Xenopus tropicalis: one gene and its partner. The protein of the gene in region 2 binds, or shares a complex with, the protein of the main gene of each other region. Links are inferred from orthologs where the notes say so. Each region holds a gene or a part of one and is shown on either strand. Other genes may lie near its edges. The genes, in order: f3 and f7.

Evidence for each region.
Region 1: the proteins of f7 (region 2) and f3 are in contact, whole or in part, in a crystal structure (PDB 6R2W), measured with the Homo sapiens proteins. The link is inferred for Xenopus tropicalis from reciprocal best matches to the Homo sapiens genes F7 and F3. Residues at the interface, in NP_000122.1 of Homo sapiens: Leu73, Lys78, Phe91, Arg96, Leu99, Phe100, Ser103, Ser120, Lys122, Gln124, Leu125, Ile129, Cys130, Phe131, Cys132, Leu133, Pro134, Phe136, Glu137, Gly138, Arg139, Lys145, Gln148, Ile150, Val152, Asn153, Glu154; in NP_001984.1 of Homo sapiens: Thr49, Asn50, Lys52, Ile54, Glu56, Trp77, Lys78, Ser79, Lys80, Phe82, Tyr83, Glu88, Asp90, Asp93, Gly141, Gln142, Thr144, Glu162, Arg163, Thr164, Leu165, Arg167, Phe172, Tyr188, Trp190, Lys191, Ser192, Ser194, Ser195, Gly196.

The regions. Positions count from the first base shown.
Region 1 is NC_030680.2:103,458,567-103,462,396, reverse strand, and holds the end of f3 (tissue factor), read right to left. Parts: coding exon 3,793-3,830; intron 2,876-3,792; coding exon 2,725-2,875; intron 2,296-2,724; coding exon of another isoform or gene 2,252-2,295; intron 1,302-2,251; coding exon 1,168-1,301; 3' UTR 86-1,167; downstream 1-85. UniProt on the Homo sapiens protein: Initiates blood coagulation by forming a complex with circulating factor VII or VIIa. The [TF:VIIa] complex activates factors IX or X by specific limited proteolysis.
Region 2 is NC_030678.2:116,095,354-116,099,283, reverse strand, and holds the start of f7 (coagulation factor VII precursor), read left to right. Parts: upstream 1-1,509; 5' UTR 1,510-1,580; coding exon 1,581-1,653; intron 1,654-3,175; coding exon 3,176-3,235; intron 3,236-3,930. UniProt on the Homo sapiens protein: Initiates the extrinsic pathway of blood coagulation. Serine protease that circulates in the blood in a zymogen form. Factor VII is converted to factor VIIa by factor Xa, factor XIIa, factor IXa, or thrombin by minor proteolysis.

The DNA of each region.
Region 1 (3,830 bases), on a different chromosome or scaffold from region 2:
TTGCTATTGGAATTAACCAGGACAGAACAGAATGTCACCAAAGTATAGGTGTAGTTTACTTATTATAATAATGATGATACAAATATTCAGTACTTTTTCCCCATTCACCTTTATTTAAAGACCTTCACATTAAAATAAGTTACTCCAAAATATACAAATACACAATCAATATTAATAATAACCCATAAAACCAACCATATAAAATCACATACATAAATAATTCCCTTGATTCGTAGTCTAAAAAACTCTATCCCAAAACAACATATATATATATGCAAAATACTATAAAGTTATAAAAATAGACTATTCATTTTATAAGTGCTTTGATAAAACTATGTAATAGTTCCATGGAAAGGAATGTTGTCATGTTTTAAGGAGCAGCACTGAGTGTTCATGATACTATAAAGAGACCACCTGCATCTACAATATAATGCATGGCATATCTGCCCATATACAGTCATTCTGAAGGACATGGGGCAAAGCCACAAAATAAAAGTGATGCACAAATCACATAAATCAAGCTCCATCACGTTGGTGTACCAGTAACACAGGATATGCCTATGGCATGGGATATTATACTATGACATTATATTATGAAAATGTACACTTTTGATTTGGTCCCCACAAAAGTGGCCAGACTTGTGTTCATCCAGCTGTTGGCAGCCAATGTCACATGGAAACTGGGGACCTCTTAGTAGCCATAAATAAGATTCTGAACCCTAACATTGTCTAATGAACAAGCATAAGATAACAGCATTACAATTTATATAAGTGCAAAAATTGATATTTTTCTCCAAGAGAAATCCTCCTTTTTACCTGAGACTCAGTATCCAGCTACTGTTTAAACAAGTACCTATTTTCTGTACCTTATTAGTTAGTGACCTCTGGCTATGCCAGTTTCTTTAGCACAGAATTTAAGCCCAACCTGAGCCATACTAAAATAGTGTTGAAATTCAAAATGTAGCGTTTCCCATACATACACAATTCCATACAATAGTTTGCAAAATTACATTCTAAACTAGTCAGAATCTGACTGTAACAGTTATAAAGGTTTTCCAGAACCAGTGTGTTTCACAGAAACAGGAGAGTAATTCACTGCCAGGAGCAGCAAGCAGTGTGCTGGGCAGCTGCAGGGTTCTAGTAGTGTAGACAGGCTGGGAATGCTGCTTATAAGACGTCGTTGGACTCTTTTCCCTGCTTTGCCCTTTTACGTTTGCACAGCATAACAGACAGAGCGATAACAATCACAATGATCAGTACCACTGATATAATCACAGCAACCAATACAGTAATATCCAACTCTGAAAAACACAAAAAAGAAAAAGCTTAGACACAGTCAAAACATCCAAGTTCACCGGCATGCTGAAACCAACATAAAGAAGTATATGCATTTTATGAATGCATATAATAACGCAAGGCTTCTCCCTGTTAGTGTAAGCAATGTCTCCTCTAGCTGTTACATACTGTCACATGGCCTAATATTTGGTAATTGATGCCACTGAGCATTACATTTGCAAGATTCTTTAAAAGTTCCTTTTATTAATTATGGGTGTTAGAGTGCCGAAGGTTGTATAAAGATAAGTGATCATAGGTCAGAGAACTCCAAACATTATTGCTAGCAGCTCACAGGGTGTCCAGGACAGGTGGGCAGTGGAGTTTTGATCACCACCATTTTCAGCTGTCAAATTGCCCTTTGTGCTAATTATTTTGCCCTGCACTCACATATGTATAATATTTCTGCTACTGTAAATAAGACAAAACATTAGGTATTGGAGTCTGTATAAAGTTGGATTAGTATAAAGGTAACTAGCCTACAGCCTCCTACCTTTATATGGTCACGATTCTTATACTACAGCTTGCATTATTGCCTTTACGTATTATGTCATATGTGATCTCGTTATTATTACAAAAGGATTGTATTTGAGCCTATAAAGCTTTTTTTTTTAACTGTAATAAATCCAACCACCTTTGCAAACAACAGGGCAACAAATCTATACAGAATGCAGCTGGTTTGTTAATAAAGATGGAAAACACCATTTAAAAGAAGAAAGTGGCAACCCATCACTTTGCAATGTGTTGCTATTCCAGCAAACCCAGACAGGAGGAAAGCATTTACAGCAATAGGTTAGATGTGGTATTGCTGTTGTCTTATCGACCCATAGGAGCTGCTTGCAAAGAATGAATAAAAGCCTAATACGCAGCAGGTCCCTTCTCCCATATGTGCACTGCAGTCATGCCAGAGTCAACTTACACATAGGAATATAAATTCACTTGGGGAACCAATAGTACTGGCTGCTGAAAGGCAAAGGCATATTCAAATAGACAGATATTCAGATCTCCGAGATGCAAACTGATACCATCAATACATCAGACTGTCTGTTTGCGAGTGTGTAAAATAAAGCATACAGTATATATACATTAGTGTTTCTCAAATTGTAAGTGCACCAGAAGTCTACAGAACAATAGTGTCTACAGACAATGTTTACCCTTACTGCAGTTTCCATAGTACACAGGTGAGTAATGGAGGGGTACTAAGAAAGAATTGGTGCACATCTTCTCAACTTCACCTTTTGTATATAGTTACATAGTTAACTATATGGCTTTATATGTGTACATACACATAAAGCCGAATTATCTATACACTGGCAAATCTATCCTTCTAATAACAGTGCACACTGCTTACATTGTAGGGAGAGATGCATGGATTAGTGATTAGACACCTACCGTTCTCACTGGCAGTAGTGCACTTCTCGTCAGATACTTGACTGACGCGGTTCTGACTGCGAGATGGTATAGTTGCTTGTACATAAAAGCAATAGCTCTCACCCCGATCCACTTTAATGACAATCTCATTGCTATTACTTGTCTCCTGTTTCTGCAAAAGGAATAATATTTATTTAATAATTATTTTTTGCAGATCAAATAATCCATCTCCTAAAAATGTAGCTATGCAAAGATAAATACTACCTATGTGTGTTAGACCTTAAATGTTTGCTCAGCCTCAGACTACAATTAAGCTCAGTTTAGTGTTTTTACCCTATTTACTTCCTGTAATTTATATAGCGTTGGCATATTTCCACAGTGCTTTACAGACATATATACATCATTCATATCAGTCCCTGCTCCAGAGGAACTTACAATCTTTGACGCCTATCACATTCAACATTGAAAACATCCAATTGCTTGACATGGGTCACAGCCCAGTGTTTATATATAAACCCCACAGTGGCATAACTTATATAATATAGCTACCCCGTCATATATATGACTTTATTAATTATTAGTTTAATCTCTTCATTCATTTCCAATACATGCGTGACATTCTGACTGCTTTGAAAAGTGATGATAATCACTTATCACTAAATCCCCAAATAAACTGCTTTTTCTTATAATATTAATGTTGGATGATTTTAGAAGATAAAGCCATGTAGCATTTGCGTACCCAGAATTAAGCTTCACTGGCCTAAAATGCCCATTATTCCATGTCAGAAAAAATGCTCATTTAGAAATCCCTAAACCTATAAGAAAACAATGAGCAGACATTATATTTAAAAAAGCAACAGAGCTAAAATATAGCTTTACGGTGGAATTGGGCCTAATATAATATTCACATATACATGAGTAAGTGACAACTCATATACTTAAATAATCATAACGAAATACCTAAGTATCTTTCTTTCTATTACAGATCTGGAGCTTAGCTTAGTGTACCTATATTAAGGGTTAAAATCACTGAGGTACAAAACCTGATAGAGGCAACTAATGTTTCTCAATACTAGCATGCTCACTTACCTTCCCTGTACTAGAAGATCTCCTGTATAAAACTGTGT
Region 2 (3,930 bases):
AAGTTGGGTGACGCGTATGCACCTCAATTTTGAAATAGTACCATAGATTCTCAACTGGATTAAAGGAGAAGGAAAGGCTAAGTCACTTGGGGGTGCCAAAATGTTAGGCACCCCAAGTGACTTCAGTCACTTACCTCGTATCCCGGGCTAGTGCCCCTGTTAGGAGAAAACAGCACCAGCCCGGGGTACCTGGAGCGATGCGCTTCCTCCTTCCGGCTTCGTTTTGGAAGGACTTATGACAGGCGCATGCACAGTAGAGTGAAAAGCCGACTTCTCTGTTAAAGTTCAGTTTTTCACTCTACTGCGCATGCGCATGCGCACGGAACCAGAAAGGAGGAAGCGATTGCTGCAGGTACCCCGGGCTGGTGCTGTTCTCTCCCAACAGGGGCACCAGCCCAGGGTAAAAGGTAATTGATTTAAGTCACTTGGGGGTGCCTAACATTTTGGCACCCCCAAGTAACTTTGCCTTTCCTTCTGCTTTAAGGGCTTTGACTGAGCCATTGCAGTGAATTTGCCTTTTAATTCTTGAACTGCTTGTGTTTGGGAATAATGTCCTTCTGAAACGCAACTTTCAGCCAAGCTGTGAAATAGCAGAGTGAAATAGGTTTGTTACAGTGTCTACCTTTATTTTGCCATGCACTCTACTGCCCTGGGAGTGTGGCACAAAAGAAGACATTACTAAAAACAAGCCATGTAAAAGTACATGTGGAGTCTGCCAGAAAGCCTGAGAGTGACCCAATGTTTTGTGTTCAGATGAGACCAAGATAGAGCTTATGGACTTCAGAACGATGTATGTGACACAAATCTAACACTGCCCCCCACACCATACATATACTATAGGGAACTTACATAGTACTGACATAGTACATACAGTACATATACTAAAGGGAACTTACATAGTACTGACATAGTACATACAGTACATATACTATAGGGAACTTACATAGTACTGACATAGTACATACAGTACATATACTAAAGGGAACTTACATAGTACTGACATAGTACATACAGTACATATACTATAGGAAACTTACATAGTACATACATATACTATAGGAAACTTGTTAATGTTAATATTCGTTTCTCCAACAAATAGATATTTCAACAAGAGTACTATTTTATATGTGAAAGATATATATAAAGCCATGAATTCCTCTAATTCCTTTGCATTCTAAAGAACCCTACTGGAGCATGAATAGTACCACCCATGGCTTGCTTCTTTATGTAAACTCTGGCAGATCCTGTGAAGTGAAAATACAGTTCACACCAATGCTCACCAGTGCATAATATTTAAATACATATGCCTTTAAAGATTTTGGATGGTAGGAAGTAGATGAAATCAGGAAGGAAGTGAAGGTAGGTGAGAACTTGTTATGGTGGAAACATTGTGTGAATCAATAAATGTAGATCTATGACTAAACATTCCCAGCAATTCCAATGTTGTTCAGATCTTCCCAGTACAGAGCACTGTCAGGGTCATCCAGTCACCTCCCCCCAGTCCTGGATGTTCAAACAAAGAACTTTGGACACACTATTCTCCCTTGGCGGATTTATAACAGAAAGAGATTTCCTGCAACATGGATCCAGGGCACAAAAAAGCTTTCTGCTTCTGTTTTCTTATGGTCCTTTCATACATTCCAACCTTTGCAGGTATGTATAAAAACCAATAATAATAATAACAGGACTGGCTAAAGATCAGCTCGACACCAAGTGGCACTAATAGGCACAAAAATGTATCATTTTTGCATTATAGACTGCCCTTGGCTTAATTACAAAAATATTTCTTAAAATGTTTCTTTTCTTATTTTCAGTCTGATAATAAATGAGTATATATATATATATATATATATATATTTGACTGACAGTAAGGCAGCTAGCTTTCAGTTAAATACCTGGAAAGTTGTGCCCCTCTAGGTATAAGGCAGCATGTATGCAGGGGTTAGTTGTCTTGAAACAGAAGTGCATGCTAAAGGGAATTGTTGGCCCTTGCGTGGATTTCAAATATTACATTTAACTGCATTTTATTTTCTGCCTTTCTATGATTCCTGATTACTGTCAGGAAAGGGCAGTAGGGACCTAGAACTGACCCTTCCATTAGTTGAAGTTTATGTGTCATTGTGAAGTACTATAGTTCTAATAATGAGCAGAGATTAATTTTTGTCAGACTCTGTCCACTTATTGATGCCTTTACTGTTGTATATTAAGTTGCTGCTGTTAGTCACTGATGCACTAGGCCCTGTCAGTGCCCAGGCCTCTTTTAGTCATTCTTTTTCTTTATACAATATAAGTTTTAATACCTTTTTCTTTATGAATTATCCATAATTTTTGCCTTAGTTTGTGATCTTTCCCTAGGCTGCCTTGTACATGACCCCAACTGCAAATGTTCCTTATTGGCATGAAGAAAGTCAGTACAGTATTCCCTACACTTATCTCCCCTTTTGCTAAGGCATTAAGCATGAATAAGGATTAATCTATAAGGATTAATTATATCTTAGTTGGGATCAAGTAAAGGTACTGTTTTATATTTTTTTAAAAAAAAAATGTATACAAGTATGGGATCCGTTATCCGGAAACCTGTTATCCAGAAAGTTCCGAATTATGGAAATACTGTGTCCCATAGACTCATTATAAACAAATAATTCTTATTTTCAAAAATGATTTCCTTTTTCTCTGTAATTATAAACCAGTACAGGTATCGGACCCCTTATCCGGAAACCCGTTAACCAGAAAGCTCCGAATTACGGAAAGCCCGTCTCCCATAGACTCCATTTTAATCAAATAATTCAGAATTTTAAAACTGATTTCCTTTTTCTCTGTAATAATAAAACAGTACCTTGTACTTGATCCCAACTAAGATATAAATAATCCTTATTGGATGCAAAACAATCCTATTGGGGTTAATTACTGTTTTATTGATTTTTTAGCAGACTTAAGGTATGGAGATCCAAATTACGGAAAGACCCCTTATCCGGAATACCCTTGGTCCCGAGCATTCTGGATAACGGGTCCAATACCTGTACCTTGTACTTGATCCCAACTAAGATATAATTAATCCTTATTGGAAGCAAAACAATCCTACTGGGTTTATTCCATATTTAAATGATTTTTTAGCAGGCTTAAGGTATGAAGATATTTGAGTAATGTCAAGTTCCTCTTTCATATCAAATTGCAGAAGATGCCAGTCTGGCTCAGTTGCAGGATGCTGCTGGTGGATATAGAGAGTCTGCAGATGGTGAGTCGAGATTTTTTTTTTTTTTTTTGAATAAACATATTTTGAGAACCATAATTTCTGCCAAAAACAGTTGCACAGTGTCAGTAGAGCTCATTAAGGTCATTGGGGTCATTTATTAAGAGGGTGTAGATGCAAAACTTTTGCATCAAATTAATAAACCTTCTCTTCATGTCTGTAAATGTAGTATCTAGCATGCTAGTCCAAGGCCTTATGCAATATGTGCAAGTGGTTGGGGTCTATACTGCCATGCTAAATGGATGCCTCCAAGCTCTCCTCTGGTTCTCCCCCATGGGGTAGTCTCTGCAGGAAAGGAAAGCCCTGGAGATATAAGCACAGGGGCTGCATGACAAGGGATCCGAATAACCAGCAGCCAGATTACACTGGTTTATGTTTAGAGATTGGCAGAACCAGGTGCAACTGTGATTAGGTGAGAAGGAAAGAGTTAAGGCAGGAGAAGGCTGGCCTGGGGAGGGGCGGAGAAAGAGAGGGATGTGATGTCAGAAAAGCACTCACTTCCTTATCTTCTGAGCAGGTAGAAACATCCCACCCACCCTCCATCTTTTTGCATATTTTGAGAAATGTCAGGAGTTTTCTCTTCTTTTGGTTTTCATATTATCTATTAATAGCTGAATGTGGAATTTTACCTGAATGTATTTTTATATTGTGCTTTCTGTATCTTTATATGGTATAAACTT